Linked DNA regions of Arabidopsis thaliana. Changing the gene in region 1 together with any one later gene gives a genetic interaction. Each region holds a gene or a part of one and is shown in the gene's direction. Other genes may lie near its edges.

Region 1 (7,621 bases):
TGTAAATACCAGTTTTGTATTCATGATCTCAAATCTTGATTCTCTTTAGTACTATATGGAAATTGTATTCATGACTCATGAGCCCATTATCTCGATTATCTTTCTCCATGAATGTGAATAAAGATCGTATATTCAGACATAATCACACGGAATAAGAGAATAAGTTTAACCAAAGAAGAAAAAAAACAAATCTTTTGCAAAGTAAAGATCAAGACTCTTGGACAAGGCTCGTGGCCACCACAGAACAGCTCACTTCAAACTCAGCTTCATCTTCATCAACCCAACTCACCAATCCATAAACCACGTTCTCTTGTAACCCTCTTGGACTCTCCAATCTCACAGTGTAGCTTAGCTTCTCGTTTTTCTCGCTGAACATTAGTTTCTTTGGCTCTACGACGACGTTTAGACCCTTCAAGCCTCTCACTCTCACGATGTAGCTTCTCTTTGCTTCTCCCACGTTTGTCAATGTCCTCTTAAAGATCTTGGGACTGCTTTGATCAGACGTGAAGTAGGCAATGATTGAAGGGTAATTGAGATATGGAGATGGCTTTTTACAAGCGTCGGAGATATTCGATCTCGTGATGATATTGATCAATTTTCTTGATTGTTTTGCCTCGTGACAAAGGAAGTTTATGAAATCTTGTGGAGTTGTATCATAGATTAGGCCAGGGTTTAAGACTTTGTTCGTACTCACATGCCCTGCTCCAACGGCTAATGGGTTGTCTAAAGTCAAAGCCGTTGTCATAATTGCAGATTTTATAGCCGATGGACTCCAATTTGGATGGACTTGCTTTATAAGCGCAGCGACTCCAGCTACATGAGGTGCAGCCATTGATGTCCCGGTTAAGAGATTGAATCCGCTGAATAACGGTAGTGCTCGAGTTCCGGTGATTTGCTCAACCGACGGCCAAGCAGAGAGTATAAGTGTCCCAGGAGCTAGAATGTCTGGTTTCAGGATTTGAGGGAAGCTTGTGAATGGACCCCTTGAGCTGTATGTGCCAACTTCTGGCGCTGGTTTTGTCCCGATTACCGTTTTACGAAACTCCAGCTTTGCGGTCGCGTTGTTTTTGTTGCTTGATGCGTAGCTTTCAATAGTTTCTCGGTGTTTTGAGCCGATGAATGCTACTGGAAACTGGAATTTTATTGTGTCTTGCTCCTCAAGTAACTTATCTGTTATTAAAACTACTGCTGCAGCTCCGGTGGATCTGATTTGATGAAGTTTGCTACCGATGTTTATGTTTTCGTTACAGACAACAATTCTGTTTGCGAGAGTCTTGTTTTCAACGCTGCCAGATTCGATGTAAGTTACTGGAAACTGAACCGAAGGGAACTCTCCAGGAAACAGAGATGGAAAACTGAAACTAACTCTGTTTCCAAACGTTAGGGTTCCTTGAAATTGCCTACCAATTGTTCCCGCTCCAACCGTCATAATCCACGGCGCTCCGTTAATCAAACTCCAGTAATATGGCCCGTCGTTACCGCCGGAAGTAACCACGAAAACGCCTTTTTGAATCGCTGCAAAAGATGCGACTGCGATTGGATCATTTTCTAGACCGAAACCATCATTGTCGTCATCATCCTCAAAACTCAATCCTAGCGACAGAGATATCACATGGACTCCATCTCGAATCGCTTGATCAATCGCTGCGATTACATCTGATGAGTAAATCCCTTCTTCCCACGCGGCTTTGTAGATTGCTAGATGCGCGTGTGGTGCGATTCCTGAGGCGGTTCCTTGGGCGTAAGAGAAGTAAGACGCGTTCTTAACATGATTCCCAGCTGCAATGGCTGCAACATGAGTGCCGTGTCCGATTGTATCGTACGGTGAAGAGTATTGGCCAATCTTGGTTTCTCTCAAATCAGGGTTGTTGGCGAACAAACCCTTGTTGAATACCTTAGCACCGATTAGTTTCTTGTTGCACAAGGAAGAAGAATTGAATTCACATGCTCCTTTCCATTTAGACGGAACCGAACCAACCCCATCGTCGTGAAAGCTGGGACTATCGGGCCAAATTCCGGTATCTATAATACCGATTACTATACCAGCTCCATAATTCGAGACCGGCCATGTACCGGATGTCGAATTTAAACCGATAAACTTTGGAGAGAAAGTGGTATGAAGCTTAACCGGTAAATCTTTGGTGAACGAGACATACCCGGGTTTGTGTTTAAGACGTTGGAGCTCAGAGTTGGTGAGAACCGCGCTAAACCCGTGAACCGAATCGGTATAAGCGTAGATAATCTTTGGTTTTCTATTGGTTATAACTGAAGTAAGAGTTGTGGAAAACCAGCTCCGATGATCGGAAAATGGCAACGGTTTAGCGGATAAGTCCATGTGGATGATGTAAGGAGAGGTCTCCGCCGTTACAATCGCTACGAAAAATGAGAACACCAGAATAATTACGACGGTCATCCCCATGTCTGAGCAAGTTTTTTTCTCTGGTCTCTTCAAAGTGAAATGAATTTTGGTGTTAGTAAGAAACAATTATAGTGTTGTTGTTAATAGATGTTTAGTTTTTATTATGACAAAAAAGTTGCAGAGAATGTAACCTTTACTTGGCTTTTGCTTTTGTTAAAGTGGTTTTAGGTGGTCGGCAACACATCATCTCTCATCATTGTTTTTTTTTCTTTTCTCTTTCAATTGGGCTTTATCATAGAGAACAATGATTTTGGATATGAACTTATTAGTAGTTTCAGCAATAGTTTAGACTTTCGAATCGGTAAATATCAGTAACTTAGAACTCAGGCTGAAACTTTGATTCTTTTACTGTATTTAGCTAGATTCTACACTTGGTGGACTCCATCAGCAATTACTTCACAGACCGAGGTAGCTCCTACAACTCTCTGATGCTTGATCTCGTTCAAATAGATGTCTCATAATTGCTTCTTTTTTGTTTTTGTTTTTGGGCTTTATTAAAGAGGAGTAAGGCCCATTAAGAGAACCCGTTTGTTTGTTGGATTCGGATTTGGCAAATGGATAGCGCCAAAATCGTGTCGATTTTCCCGCCATCTCCATTTCTTAATCTGGGTTCTTAAACCTAAATCAGTTACTCAGCTTCACCAAACCACCAAATTGACCGGATTTGTAAAAATGTCCGGCGATAATTCAACGGAAACTGGACGAAGACGTAGCCGAGGCGCGGAGGCGTCGAGTAGGAAAGACACACTCGAGCGTCTGAAGGCGATTCGACAAGGAGGAATCCGTTCTGCGTCAGGTGGTGGGTACGATATTAGGCTGCAGAAGCCAATCTTCGATACCGTTGATGACGAAGAGTACGACGCACTTGTTTCCCGGCGGCGCGAGGAGGCTCGCGGGTTTGTAGTTGAAGATGGGGAAGGTGGCGATTTGGGATATCTCGACGAAGGTGAGGAGGAGGATTGGTCGAAGCCAAGTGGACCAGAATCGACTGATGAATCAGACGACGGTGGTAGGTTTAGTGGGAGACTTAAGAAGAAGAAGAAAGGGAAAGAGCAAACGCAGCAACCTCAGGTTAAGAAGGTGAATCCGGCGTTAAAAGCTGCGGCTACTATCACTGGTGAAGGTAGACTTTCGTCTATGTTCACATCTTCGAGTTTCAAGAAAGTTAAGGAGACTGATAAGGCACAGTATGAGGGTATTCTTGACGAGATAATAGCTCAGGTTACTCCAGATGAGTCGGATAGAAAAAAGCATACGAGGAGAAAACTACCAGGTACTGTTCCAGTTACCATCTTCAAGAATAAAAAACTGTTTTCTGTTGCCTCGAGTATGGGAATGAAAGAGTCTGAACCAACACCTTCAACTTATGAGGGTGATTCTGTTTCCATGGATAATGAATTGATGAAAGAGGAAGATATGAAAGAATCTGAAGTCATTCCTTCTGAGACTATGGAATTACTTGGAAGTGATATTGTCAAAGAGGATGGATCAAACAAGATAAGGAAAACTGAAGTGAAGAGTGAGTTAGGTGTCAAGGAGGTATTTACATTGAATGCAACGATTGATATGAAAGAGAAGGATTCGGCTTTAAGTGCCACTGCTGGTTGGAAGGAAGCGATGGGAAAAGTTGGAACTGAGAATGGGGCTTTGCTTGGTTCTAGTTCTGAAGGGAAAACGGAATTTGATTTGGATGCTGACGGATCACTTCGTTTCTTCATTCTTGACGCTTATGAGGAGGCTTTTGGTGCGAGCATGGGCACAATATATCTGTTTGGGAAGGTGAATCTCTAGATTTTTCATTCATTTTTAAAGTTGTTCTTTTGGCCTTAATCTAGAGAATGAATTCGGTCTCTCTTTTTTTAACAATTCAGGTTAAAATGGGAGATACTTACAAGAGTTGCTGTGTGGTAGTTAAGAATATCCAGAGGTGTGTTTATGCTATTCCAAATGATTCCATATTTCCTTCCCATGAACTAATCATGCTCGAGCAAGAGGTGAAAGACTCTCGACTTTCTCCTGAATCCTTCCGTGGGAAATTGCATGTGAGTTTGACTACCTTTGTTACATGCTAAGAGGAAGCAATCTATTTTCCTCTGTTGTTCATTGTTTTTGGCTGTGTCTTCTCAGGAAATGGCATCAAAACTGAAAAACGAAATTGCTCAGGAATTGTTACAGCTCAATGTTTCAAATTTTAGCATGGCGCCTGTCAAGGTTTGGATATTTGACTTCTTTTTCATGTATTCTAGCAGCAATACTTTTCTTTTGACTCTCTATTCTGCTCTTTATGTACGAATATCAGAGAAACTATGCTTTTGAGAGGCCTGATGTGCCTGCTGGCGAACAATATGTTTTGAAGATAAATTATTCATTTAAGGTACATTTCAGCTGTTCAAAATAAAACTAAAAATCGTCTGTTTTCTTACATCTCAACAATATGACAAGTTTCCTCTTTTATAACAGGATCGTCCACTTCCAGAAGATCTTAAAGGCGAGTCTTTCTCCGCTTTGCTCGGGTCTCATACCAGGTTCTAGCTTCTTACTGCTGAGTTTCATTACCTTTCCATGTGTTTGGTAGTTGGTTTGTTAAGTTTGTATTTTCTGGTCTTCTGTAAGCTTCTTAGTTAACTATGTATGCTGGCTATGTCAATTTAGCACGGTGCAATTTTTTCATCCTTATCAAAGTTAATTCATATGCAGTGCTTTGGAGCATTTTATCCTTAAGAGGAAGATCATGGGACCTTGTTGGCTCAAAATTTCAAGCTTCTCTACTTGCTCTCCTTCGGAAGGAGTAAGACCTTAAATCTGTGCCATAATCATATAATCAGTGATTTTTCTAGTTCTGTTTATCTCCGCTAATGAGAGGACTTGCCACTTGTGCAGGTGAGTTGGTGCAAGTTTGAGGTTACTGTTCAATCTCCCAAGGATATCACTATTTTAGTTTCAGAGGAAAAGGTGGTTCACCCTCCTGCTGTTGTTACAGCCATAAATTTAAAGACTATAGTCAATGAAAAGCAGAACATAAGCGAAATTGTTTCTGCATCTGTTCTCTGCTTTCACAACGCCAAGGTTTGTTCTACAACATTTAACCAATGCTTCTTAGCCTTTTTTGTTGTTGTTGTTGTTGTCTTTGTGAAGAATACGGATGTATGATCATGGCATTACCAATCACCAGTAGGTTTTCGTACCATGTGGTTTTATATTAACGCTCATTTTGGACGATTGTTTCTTGCTCAAAAGACACTCTTTCTGTCTACATTAGTAGCTTGACATATGATGTGCGTGCTCCTTGATCTTTCAGATTGATGTTCCAATGCCAGCTCCAGAAAGAAAGAGATCTGGTATTCTGAGTCATTTCACTGTTGTTAGGAATCCTGAAGGAACCGGTTACCCAATTGGTTGGAAAAAAGAAGTGTCTGACAGAAATTCAAAGAACGGCTGCAATGTATTAAGTATTGAAAACAGGTGTGTTGCAGCTCTGTTACTGAATAGGCTGTGTTTGTGATCCTTCACATATATCTTTGGCAATTCATGTTGGCTTCGTCCAATATTTTGTTCCTTTTCTTACTGCAGTGAAAGAGCATTGCTGAACCGATTGTTTTTGGAGTTAAACAAATTGGACAGTGATATTCTTGTGGGACATAATATTTCAGGTTTTGATCTGGATGTTCTTCTTCAAAGGGCCCAGGTAAAGCAAAATCTCTTTTTACCATTAAGAAAAATGGTTGTGTCTTTCATTTTATTTTATTTTCTTATCTTTCTATGATATGCTTCATATTAGTTTTGTAAGATCTTGTCTTTCCAGGCCTATTAGATGATATTTAACGTAATAAGCCAGCAAGTTTTTATTTCATGCATTGTACATCATTAGTCCCTTTTCCAGTCTCTCCTGTTGTGATGATCATGTAATAGAGATATATACATGTCTGTCTTGTTCTTTAAACTGAATGATTACTATTGTGCAGGCTTGCAAAGTTCAGAGTAGCATGTGGTCCAAAATTGGCCGACTCAAACGCTCTTTTATGCCTAAGCTTAAAGGAAACAGTAATTATGGGTCAGGAGCTACACCAGGGCTCATGTCTTGTATTGCTGGAAGGCTCTTGTGTGATACAGATCTGTGTTCTCGTGACTTGTTGAAGGAGGTATGATACCCTTGCAGGTCTTGTAAGCAGTAAGTTGAAGCTCAGTCCCTCATGTATAAGCATCTGTTTCTTGCAGGTCAGTTATTCTTTAACGGACCTCTCAAAGACACAGCTGAACCGGGACAGGAAAGAGATAGCGCCTAATGATATTCCCAAAATGTTTCAGTCATCCAAAACACTTGTGGAACTTGTAAGTTCTTCGATGAGCCCGGTCATGTCTGTTTTATGTATGAGTTGGTACTACCACATTAGGGACGATAGGTTATGAATCCTTGCATGCGAAACAATTTAGTGCAAACTATTGAAGAATAAATAATCCAGTCATACATAGAAGTAAAGGGATTGCAGATAACAGCAGTCACTTAAGGTTGATGAGTGATGACTGCATCTTAATTGCTCGCTTGTTATAACCCTTTGATTTTCTTTTCTTTCAGATTGAATGTGGTGAGACGGATGCATGGTTATCCATGGAGCTCATGTTTCATCTAAGTGTTCTTCCTCTCACTCTCCAGCTTACTAACATAAGTGGCAATCTTTGGGGGAAAACACTTCAAGTAATGACTCTCCCTCTCCCTCCCATCCGGGAAAATATGTGTTACTGTGCTGACTCATGCATTTTTTGTTCATGACCAGGGAGCCAGGGCACAGAGAATCGAATACTACTTACTACATACATTCCACTCGAAAAAGTTCATTCTCCCTGACAAAATTTCACAACGTATGAAGGAAATAAAGTCATCAAAAAGAAGAATGGATTATGCTCCAGAAGACCGCAATGTAGATGAATTGGATGCTGACCTGACTTTGGAGAATGATCCGTCTAAGGGCAGCAAAACAAAAAAAGGTCCAGCCTACGCTGGTGGACTGGTCTTGGAGCCAAAGAGAGGCTTATATGACAAATATGTCTTGCTTCTGGATTTCAATAGTCTTTACCCTTCTATTATACAGGTTAGCAGATTGTTTCTATTTCTCAAGCCTTTGGTGGATGTTTCCGCCTGCTTGGTAGTTAACAGTCATGATATTTTCAGGAATACAATATCTGTTTTACGACTATACCACGATC
Region 2 (10,314 bases), on another chromosome or scaffold:
ACTTCATGTCAGCAAAATCATACATTTTATCTCTGATGCATCCAATGGTTTTCTTGTTGCAGTGCTTCAGAGAACGAGCTCAAGCTGGAGGAAAAACAAAACATGCGAACCGTAAGTTACAAGCAGAAGAAAATCGATACCATTACATTGAGAGTTGTTTTTGTCCAAGACCAATCTGTTTTATGTGTTTGATGATTCAGGAATTGGAAATCGCTGCTGCTTCAGAAAAGTTGGCCGAGTGTCAAGAGACGATTCTAAACCTGGGAAAGCAGCTCAAGGCATTGACTAACTCAAAGGAAACAGCTTTACTTTCAGAAACACTCATGTACGACGTTACAGACAAATCGAACAACCTACCTGATGCACAACCTTCACATGAGACTACTAAACCAGAGAAGAGATTGACCAGCCAGAGATCATCTCTTTTGGATCAGATGAAGGCAGAAGATCACAACACCGGGGAATCCAAGGATCAGAAACCGCAAGCAGCAGATAAAAACGGAAAGGGAGGAAACAGCTCTGTTTACAATGAAACCATTGAGGCACTAGAACAGATTCTTCTCTCAGACAAAAGCAAAGGCTCCGACTCAAACTGCTTTGCCATTGTTCCTCAGAAAAAGACCGGCGGAGTTAAGAGCCTCTGGAGAAAGCTGTTGGGGAGAAATAAGAAAGGTAAGAGCAAGAAGGTCCCTAATCCATTTGCCAACTAAGAAGATGGTGGCATCTGTCATCTAGACTATAATCTAATACCTTAATCCTGTTTCTTTATATGGTCCCAAAGACCCAAACTATGCAAACTAAACTGTCATTTTCTAGATTTTTTTGGCAGTATATATATAATCTCCACGTAGAGTATTACTCTATAAGATGATCATTCTGCTTTATTCCACTTTTAGTCTCAGAAAGGATACAATCAGTAATCTTGACCCAATGAATCTTTAGCAGGGTTAATGTAAATCTTCAACGTAGACACTAAATGCATAAGATCATTTGATATAATGTCATCTCAGGTCTCAAAAGAACAAATTGTGGCCTTTAAAAGAGACTTCTCAATCTCTGTACAGAACAAACTTGGCGATGTCGTTAAGTCCAGCTTCCTTGTAGCACTGAGCAACCCGTTCCAGTGATTCGTCCCATGTCCCTTCAAGTGACGCTAGATTCAGTAAGAACGCAGCCTCGTCCAAAGATGCCTGAGAATTACAAGTTTTGTTTCAAGCCTTTGTATCCATAAGCATGATATGAGTATCTGATAATGAATACAGGCAAAGAACAAACCTGAGCCATTGGCTTTCCCCTGTCTATATCCCGTTGTTTTCCTTCTCCTGTAACTCTCTCCTTATACTGCGCAATTTGCTCTTCTCCCCACTCTGCTATTTGAGCAATTTCCTGGGAACCCGTTTCATATGTTCAACACTTTTTTCCCTTCTCTTTTCGATTACCAAAATTGCTTGTCGATAGTCAAGGAATTGTACCTCATATCTGCATCCTAAGGTCCACCACGAAGATTTCAAAGCACCCCTAGCTGCGTCTTTCGCTTCTAAGTTACGCCCAAGTCTACAAAATATATAGAGGTCTTAGAGTTTTCTAGAAAGGACGTAAGCATTTACCTGGGGGTCGTTCACAAGGGAGAAAGAGGGATGATGAGAAAGGATCATACGAACTTCAGTAAAACTTTTGCGTTGAAAGCGAATGGCCGGGCAAATCCGGGAAAGTTCCCTCTCTTTGTATAAAACTCGGTAGCCACCAAAGCTGAAACCTTGTATTAGCACGTGAAGATAGTTTAAAAAGAGAAAACACGTCAACTACAACAGGATAGATATAATTACTAGCCTTACATGGTCTCCATTCTCGATATGCCGAATAACTTTTCGTTCAAGAGAATCTGGAAACAATCCAACCTGAATTACAAAGCTAATAATCATATCCCAGTATCCATGTGCAGAAAAGATTCTGATATTAACAGGCTCAATATATGTACCTTTCTTAAAAGATAGGCATCTAAATCCATCAGTCTTGAACTGGCAAAGTCACCCTTACTGTAAAGTTTCTTCCCAGCTTCACCAGCAGCATTGAAGATTTCTTGGCTGCATTCTTCGGGTTTGGAAACATCTTCTTCCACCAATATTCTGTGAATGAACTGATCAACCTGAATGTTGGCCAATGAAGTCAGATATGAGAATGAACACTCAACAAAAATAACCCTAAATTAACGCATCAGTAATGCTATAAAAAGACTCATTACATTATTAGCTAGAAACCAAACCCCATGTTTCTGAACTTCCACCACAGGCATCTCCATACTGCAAACACCACAAACAATGATAAGCTACAAAAGAAGAGAAACATGACGATATTAAAAAAGCAAGGAGGATCTAACCTAGAAGGAGCTGTTGGCCACCGTAATAGAGCAATTGAAGAACCTGAAAAAGGAAAGTCATACAAACTTAATATGAAAGTGTTACAACCTCAGATAAGAACTTATGTACAAGTCCAGAATCATACCCGGGCTCATTTTCACCAACGGAATAGTAAGAGGTAACAAGCCTTGCTTGGCACCAGGAGAAACTATGGATTTACCTGATCCAATGTCATTACCACAAGCAAAAGTCACCATTCCGCAAGTTAACAAACAAAAACTTCGAAAATACGATCAGCAAGTCAGTGTAAGATTGATTTACCTCTAGCTGTGAATATATTCAGCAGCTGCATCAGATGCTTAGGAGGCTGAGCTTTTGCTATATCCTTAATGAAACATTCATGTTCTGCACATAATCAATCGTTAACTTCGATTCACTGATTGTTCAAATTCGGCACCGTAAGAATCATAAACCAATCTCAAGCCATCGCACAGCTTCCAGAAGTTGCAAATGAAATAGCGAAGATGTGAATCCCTCTCACCAGATAGTGAAGAAGAAGAGCAAAAGGATCTGGCGAAGTTTCTGCTGCCATGGAGAAGTATCAGTCTACGTTTCCGTCCGAAAACCGCCGCGCCGCGATGCATCTCAGAGTTTTCCGATCGCCGTACTGTTTCTCGTCCGATGAGATTACAGAGAGACTTCGAAAAGCTGTTGCTGAAAAAAAAAACAAAAAATAAAGCCCAAACAAATAGGGTTTAAGAGCCCATTAAATCAGAGCCCAGCAACGTTCGTGTTTGTTTTGTTCAGTTGATATAGAACCAGTCTCGAACTCTAGTAGATTCGTTGTCTCGAGCTACGTGATATTCCGGTAAACCGTCGCCGGAGATGTACAGTAGATAATTCAAATCGAGCTGCCACGTCGCTATTTTCCCACCAACTTTTTTTTTTTTAAATAATTGGAAAAAGTTTCTAATTTACACGCTTCCCAATTCGTAAACAATGTTCTTTAAAAGTAAAACGAAATTTTTTTTGGATTTGAAGATAAAAGATCCAAAATAAAAACAAAATTGAAGATAAATTTTTAGGGTTTATAACGACCCGCCAAATTCCTTCTCTCCTCCAACATTTCAGATTTCGCGACCCGGATCTTAACCCGGACCCGCATTTGTTTCGGTTCCGATCTGGTTTCTTGACAATGGCGTCAGAAGCTTCGCCTTCTTCTTCGGCCACCAGATCGGAGCCACCCAAAGACTCTCCGGTGCGTCAATCGTTTTTTTTTTTTTTCTTACTTTCTAAAAATGGAACTTTTTTCTTTGTGCTATTGAGGCATTGACTTTGATTTGCTTTAGTTTGAGTGAAGAGAACGAAACTCGATGGCTTGTTTGAGCTTCTCTATATGCTCGTTTTTAGATCTAGAGATTGCTGGATTGTGAGATATGAAGTTGTTTTTGGGTTCGTTTAGGAACCATTTTTGCTGCAATTGATAGTTTCTCTCATTGAACACTGTGTAAAGGAACCTCATTTTGATGTTTCAGGCGGAGGAGAGAGGTCCAGCTTCTAAGGAAGTATCAGAAGTAATAGAATCGCTAAAGAAGAAGCTTGCAGCTGATAGGTGTATATCAATAAAGGTTGCTATTTTTGTTTAGTTTTTTTTTTGTATGTTTTATGTGTTTCTGAATCTGATTGTTAGAAATTGATGTGTTTGTAACCAGAAAAGGATTGATGAAAACAAGAAGAATTTGTTTGCTATTACTCAAAGTTTTATGAGGTCTTCTATGGAACGAGGAGGTAGCTGTAAAGATGGCAGTGATCTTTTAGTTAAGAGGCAAAGAGATTCGCCAGGTATGAAAAGCGGAATCGATGAAAGTAATAACAACAGATATGTAGAAGATGGACCTGCCAGTTCAGGAATGGTTCAAGGATCTAGTGTCCCTGTCAAAATTTCCTTACGTCCTATCAAAATGCCTGATATCAAACGTTTGTCACCTTATACCACATGGGTTTTTCTGGACAGGTATGTTGACATTAATGTCGCAAGAGTACTTGAAAATATTCAAGTTGAAATGTAAGCCCCTCGCATAGTATCTTAACGTTATAATCACTCTTGAAATGATGCAGAAATCAAAGAATGACTGAAGACCAGTCTGTAGTGGGTCGAAGGAGAATTTATTATGATCAAACTGGCGGGGAAGCGCTTATCTGCAGTGATAGTGAAGAGGAGGCCATTGACGACGAAGAAGAAAAAAGAGATTTTTTGGAGCCTGAAGATTATATTATTCGGTTAGTATTAAATGGCAGGAGTTTAATCATTCTTGCATTTTGGTCTCTTAGTGTGAATCTCTTGTCTGCTATGTCAACTGTTATGCTGGTTTGTTCTCACTTATATTGTTGGATTAAATTTCCCTTCGTTTCTTCAGCATGACCCTTGAGCAACTAGGTCTTTCAGACTCAGTCCTGGCGGAACTAGCAAGTTTCTTGTCTAGAAGTACTAGTGAAATCAAGGTATCAACAACTTTTTTCTCTGCCTATTGCTTGTGTGAACTATCATGTGCTATTTTCTTTAGAATCAAGCACTTCAGTTGTAGGATTTCAAAACAGAGTGAGGGATGCATTGTTTAAGGAAATCCAATTAGTATTGTTCCAGCCCTTTCCCAATTGGCTTTTTGCAGAGATATGAACACCGACCATCTTATACAGGCAAGACATGGAGTGCTTATGAAGGAAAAAGAAGTATCCGAGAGTGGCGATAATCAAGCAGAGAGCTCCCTTCTCAACAAAGATATGGAAGGAGCATTAGATTCTTTCGATAACCTGTTCTGCCGTAGATGCCTTGTTAGTCCATTTGATTTTCTCAGGCTAATGTTTCATGGGTTATTGCTTAATGATCGAGCAAACATTGGTCTCTTTTTAACTTTTGTATGCATCTATGCAGGTATTTGATTGCCGGCTTCATGGGTGTTCACAGGATCTCATTTTTCCGGTGAGTTTAGTGCCAACCGAAAAAATCTTACTATAACTTTAGTGTTACTTATCTAATTTTATGGATTTTTAGGCTGAGAAACCAGCTCCATGGTGTCCTCCTGTAGATGAAAATTTAACCTGTGGTGCAAACTGCTATAAAACGGTAAATTTGTTATTTTCTCGTTGCTAAGCTCATCTCCTAGAAAGACTGGTTTAACAAAAAGCGTTGTTTTCAATTTATCAGCTTCTCAAGTCTGGAAGATTTCCGGGATATGGCACCATTGAAGGTAAAACTGGCACTTCATCAGATGGTGCAGGTACTAAAACCACACCCACGAAGTTCTCCAGCAAACTTAATGGGAGAAAACCAAAGACCTTCCCAAGTGAAAGTGCATCGTCTAATGAAAAGTGCGCACTAGAAACAAGTGACTCAGAGAATGGACTACAGCAGGATACCAATTCCGATAAAGTTTCATCATCGCCAAAGGTGAAAGGTAGTGGGAGACGAGTAGGTCGTAAGAGGAACAAAAACCGAGTTGCTGAGCGAGTTCCTCGTAAGACTCAGAAGAGGCAGAAGAAGACAGAAGCCTCGGATAGTGATTCCATCGCCAGTGGAAGTTGTTCACCCAGCGATGCAAAACATAAAGATAATGAAGATGCTACTTCCTCTTCTCAGAAGCATGTAAAATCTGGGAACTCCGGGAAGTCAAGGAAGAATGGCACTCCTGCCGAAGTCTCCAATAATTCTGTGAAGGATGACGTTCCTGTTTGCCAGTCAAATGAGGTTGCGTCAGAGCTTGATGCGCCGGGTAGTGATGAAAGTCTAAGGAAAGAAGAGTTTATGGGTGAAACTGTATCTCGAGGAAGATTGGCTACAAATAAGTTGTGGAGACCACTTGAGAAAAGCCTTTTTGATAAAGGTGTTGAGATTTTTGGAATGAATAGGTGGGTAATTTTGATGTATTTAGCTACTGCTAAATTATCATTCTGCTTCAGGTTTTTCAATTTGTGGAATATAGTCATATGGATTCTTTGTTTCTTTGCAGCTGCTTGATTGCTAGAAATCTTTTGAGTGGTTTCAAATCATGTTGGGAGGTCTTCCAATACATGACGTGCTCGGAAAATAAAGCTTCCTTCTTTGGAGGTGATGGATTGAATCCTGATGGCTCTTCCAAGTTCGATATCAATGGAAATATGGTATATTAACACTAAACCTTTTTGACTTTGTTTACAAATTCCTGATAAAATCGATTTATTTCTCTTCGGATTTAATGCTTTAGTTTCTGGACTAACCAGGTTAATAACCAAGTGAGGAGAAGGTCAAGATTTCTACGTAGGAGAGGCAAAGTGCGGCGCTTGAAGTATACCTGGAAGTCTGCTGCATATCATTCAATTAGGAAAAGAATTACTGAGAAGAAAGACCAGCCCTGCCGTCAGTTTAATCCATGTAACTGCAAAATTGCTTGTGGGAAGGAATGTCCTTGTTTGCTAAACGGGACTTGCTGCGAGAAGTACTGCGGGTAATGTAATCTATGATTATCCACATCTGTATTTCTTAGCTTTGAATCTCATTACCAACAAACTATATTTTCTGTGTAGTTGCCCAAAGAGCTGCAAGAATAGGTTTAGAGGTTGTCATTGTGCCAAAAGTCAGTGTCGAAGCCGCCAGTGTCCATGCTTTGCTGCAGATCGGGAATGTGACCCAGATGTTTGTAGAAACTGCTGGGTCATGTAAGTCTTATTGGGGATGCAAATCCATCCTAATTGGTTTCTTAGAAAATGCTCAAGAAATGCAACTTTTTTTTTAGTAGTTCCAGATGCACTTATACTGTGTCTGAATGAATTTGAATGTGTAGTGGTGGGGATGGTTCGCTTGGGGTCCCAAGCCAAAGAGGCGATAATTATGAGTGCAGGAATATGAAATTGCTCCTGAAACAACAACAAAGGGTAAATACTTAGCCTTGTTAACTAAATATCTATGATCTGCAATCAAATGATTAAACATGAAATGGCTAAATTTCCTCCTCTTTTTTATGTTAATTTCAGGTTTTACTTGGAATATCTGATGTTTCTGGTTGGGGAGCTTTCTTAAAGGTATATTAGGTTCAAAATTTGTTAAACTGATAAGTCCTTCAAAGATTAATCTATGTTTAGAGTATGAACTTGCCTTAAGAACAATTATTTTTCCTTCTTACAGAACAGTGTAAGTAAGCATGAATACCTTGGGGAATACACAGGAGAGCTGATCTCACATAAAGAGGCAGATAAACGCGGGAAGATATACGATCGCGAGAACTGCTCTTTTCTCTTCAATCTAAACGATCAGGCACGTCTCAGCAGCTTTGAAATGTCCCAACTCTCTTTCTCTCTAGTCTCTAGGTTGTCTTCAAATTTTAAAATGTTTTTGGATTGTGCTGCAGTTTGTGCTAGATGCTTACAGGAAAGGAGATAAACTGAAATTCGCCAACCATTCTCCTGAACCTAACTGTTACGCAAAGGTAAAAATGTGAAAAGTGCAAGTTAAAGATACGGTTTTCGCATGATGGGTATGTTCTGTTTTTCCTCAAAATCTTTGTATCTGTTCAAGGTCATCATGGTTGCTGGAGATCACAGGGTGGGGATCTTCGCAAAAGAGAGGATACTGGCTGGAGAAGAACTATTTTACGATTACCGGTATGAGCCAGATCGAGCTCCAGCTTGGGCCAAAAAACCTGAAGCTCCTGGTTCTAAGAAAGACGAAAATGTTACACCTTCTGTTGGTAGACCCAAGAAGCTTGCTTAGCAACAAAAGAAACAACCATTTTTTTGTCAATTCTTTGGTTACAGGTGGAAGAACGCTTTAATCCTCATTACTCTCCACACGGAAGAACACATTGAAACAAATTCATACATTTTGCTGAGTCTAAAGAAAAATTGTATTCGTTGGATTAAAATTTCCTTTTTTCGTTTTACATTTCTGGATTATCATTTTATTGTACTGAGACTCGGGTTAAAGTTTTTAAATTACAGATGAGAAACTTGGTGAGCTTTGGAGCTGACATCAATGTGGTATTCCTCACACATCACAATCTATATAAATTAAATTAGGCGTCAGTGTACATTTGGTGATCAGAAAGTAACAAAACCAAATCAGAAAACGAACATGAGCAGCCAAATTAAAATGTACATTGACGCATAAACCTAAGAATTAAGATATACAAGAATGTTTGCGATAACCAAGATATAAATGCATCTATTCTATTTTCTCTTTGAAGGGTCCATCTTCATGCATCAGTCTGATGACATAATCCATCTGCGATGCACAAAGTTACATTGTTTAAGTCGATGATCCAATTACATAGCTATGTTTATATACTCTTTTAACACCATAACTTCAAAACATACCTGATTTGATTCGCGCACTAAAAACTCGTCTATGGCTTGCCTGAAACCTTCATCGAATATGTAATGGCAACTATATGTTTTAACGGGAAGGTAGCCTCGCTGAATCTTATGCTCACCCTGCGCTCCAGCTTCTACCGTTTTCAGATTAAGCTCTATCGCTGCTTCAATTGCCTATGAATCCCATTATCAGTTTGTGAGTTTTAATCAAGTATGTCTCGGCGAAAACTCTTGAGACTTTGAAACAACAAGACCAACCTGGTAATAGCATGCTTCAAAATGGAGACTAGGATAATAGGAGTCGGGACGACATCCCCATAGTCTCCCAAATAGAGTATCTCCTCCAATGAGATTCAATGCTCCTGCAACAGGTTCCTCGTTTTCTTCAGCTAAAACAAGCAATACCTTGTCTCCCAACTTCGATGCCATGTCGTGAAAGAAATCCCTTGTGAGATAAGGTGTGCCCCATCTAAAATTAGCCGGAAATCGTTAAGCATGTGAAAGGACAAACACAGGTAATGCATACACTTGACGATGACAGGTAATTGAATGTAAGTATGTTTATTATGCACAAAGACACATAATGTGTACTAATGATAAGAAAAACAAAAATGTCTCAAAGATAAAGACTAAACTTGTTATCAGTTGTGTTCCTGTAGAAATCATAGAAGGAATCCCAGTGCCTAGCCTGCAAAAACATTAGGCACAAACGATGAATCAAATTTTTAAGACACATATTAATATAAAAGCCCCATAATGTCCTTTATAGCATGTGCCATCAGTTCTAACCTCTGGTAGCAGATTGATATCCCATGGTTGATTATTTATAGCCATTAAAATGAAAAGATACCGCCAGGCATAATCAATTACAACAAATTCGTCTCGTGGCAGTTCAGTTACATACCTTTATATCATCTCCTTGTAGCCGTCTCATTTTCAAATTCTGGGTACCAATCTACTAGAGAAAAGGAGCATTAGAAGTCAGCAGCGTGCTTGAAAAACGCCACAAGGAACGGATAACGAAATAAGGCCACAATTCAAAAGTTGTATGGGAAGAAAAAAAGAGTAACCATTCCATTTTACTATTCACATGAGCAAAGAAACTTAAGAGACAAGAATAAATTGCACAATGAGGATGATATGAAAAGAGGAAACTAAACAAACCTTTTTGCGTTCCTGTCGGATATTTTTCCTTTTGCTTTGCTTCATGTCCATCAAGAACTCGTCAAAACTGAAGTATTAGAGATAAAAAAAAAAATGAACAAAATATAATAGCAACTACTTCCAATCCAGTCATTGTTAAGAACTAATATACTGGCAACTAACTTCAATTACTTTTTATAATCACGATTTTTCCAGTGGTACTGCATTCCAATCCTTTGTGAGAAGCCTTTCTCTTTCAATTTGTCCCACTCAGCTCCAGACGGAAATGTAATGTGCAAAGATGAAACTTGTAACTGCCAAAGCCCACAGAATACAACTAGTCTGTCAGCAGTCAGCAGATAGCATATGTTGAAAGCAGAACTCAACACAAGAGAACCATTACAGCTTCAAGAAAGTAAAATGTGAGATTGTTCCTATAGTAATAAGGATAGCTAATAAATAGTAGAACCTT

Evidence for each region.
Region 2: of ICU2 (region 1) and CLF, changing one enhances a phenotype caused by changing the other (phenotypic enhancement), as found in Arabidopsis thaliana (one study listed by BioGRID).

The regions. Positions count from the first base shown.
Region 1 is NC_003076.8:26,773,903-26,781,523, forward strand, and holds the start of ICU2 (DNA-directed DNA polymerase), read left to right. Parts: upstream 1-3,050; 5' UTR 3,051-3,091; coding exon 3,092-4,198; intron 4,199-4,290; coding exon 4,291-4,461; intron 4,462-4,546; coding exon 4,547-4,630; intron 4,631-4,718; coding exon 4,719-4,793; intron 4,794-4,879; coding exon 4,880-4,944; intron 4,945-5,116; coding exon 5,117-5,207; intron 5,208-5,299; coding exon 5,300-5,485; intron 5,486-5,717; coding exon 5,718-5,881; intron 5,882-5,989; coding exon 5,990-6,104; intron 6,105-6,381; coding exon 6,382-6,558; intron 6,559-6,634; coding exon 6,635-6,748; intron 6,749-6,992; coding exon 6,993-7,112; intron 7,113-7,191; coding exon 7,192-7,506; intron 7,507-7,586; coding exon 7,587-7,621. Other genes in the region: AT5G67090 (Subtilisin-like serine endopeptidase family protein), read right to left, coding at 209-2,419. UniProt on the Arabidopsis thaliana protein: Polymerase alpha in a complex with DNA primase is a replicative polymerase.
Region 2 is NC_003071.7:9,952,018-9,962,331, forward strand, and holds CLF (SET domain-containing protein), read left to right. Parts: upstream 1-3,074; 5' UTR 3,075-3,552; coding exon 3,553-3,615; intron 3,616-3,892; coding exon 3,893-3,985; intron 3,986-4,069; coding exon 4,070-4,371; intron 4,372-4,475; coding exon 4,476-4,637; intron 4,638-4,774; coding exon 4,775-4,859; intron 4,860-4,996; exon of another isoform or gene 4,997-5,030; coding exon of another isoform or gene 5,031-5,054; coding exon 5,055-5,189; intron 5,190-5,289; coding exon 5,290-5,337; intron 5,338-5,409; coding exon 5,410-5,481; intron 5,482-5,562; coding exon 5,563-6,263; intron 6,264-6,364; coding exon 6,365-6,515; intron 6,516-6,614; coding exon 6,615-6,838; intron 6,839-6,917; coding exon 6,918-7,049; intron 7,050-7,174; coding exon 7,175-7,265; intron 7,266-7,364; coding exon 7,365-7,412; intron 7,413-7,515; coding exon 7,516-7,644; intron 7,645-7,738; coding exon 7,739-7,816; intron 7,817-7,905; coding exon 7,906-8,100; 3' UTR 8,101-8,369; downstream 8,370-10,314. Other genes in the region: AT2G23360 (filament-like protein (DUF869)), read left to right, coding at 63-111, 201-710; AT2G23370 (cyclin delta-3), read right to left, coding at 1,050-1,190, 1,276-1,386, 1,473-1,554, 1,662-1,756, 1,836-1,898, 1,979-2,146, 2,243-2,300, 2,378-2,420 and 3 more; AT2G23390 (acyl-CoA), read right to left, coding at 8,551-8,610, 8,703-8,873, 8,958-9,168, 9,335-9,387, 9,604-9,654, 9,864-9,930, 10,035-10,156. UniProt on the Arabidopsis thaliana protein: Polycomb group (PcG) protein. Catalytic subunit of some PcG multiprotein complex, which methylates 'Lys-27' of histone H3, leading to transcriptional repression of the affected target genes, mainly abscisic acid (ABA) responsive elements.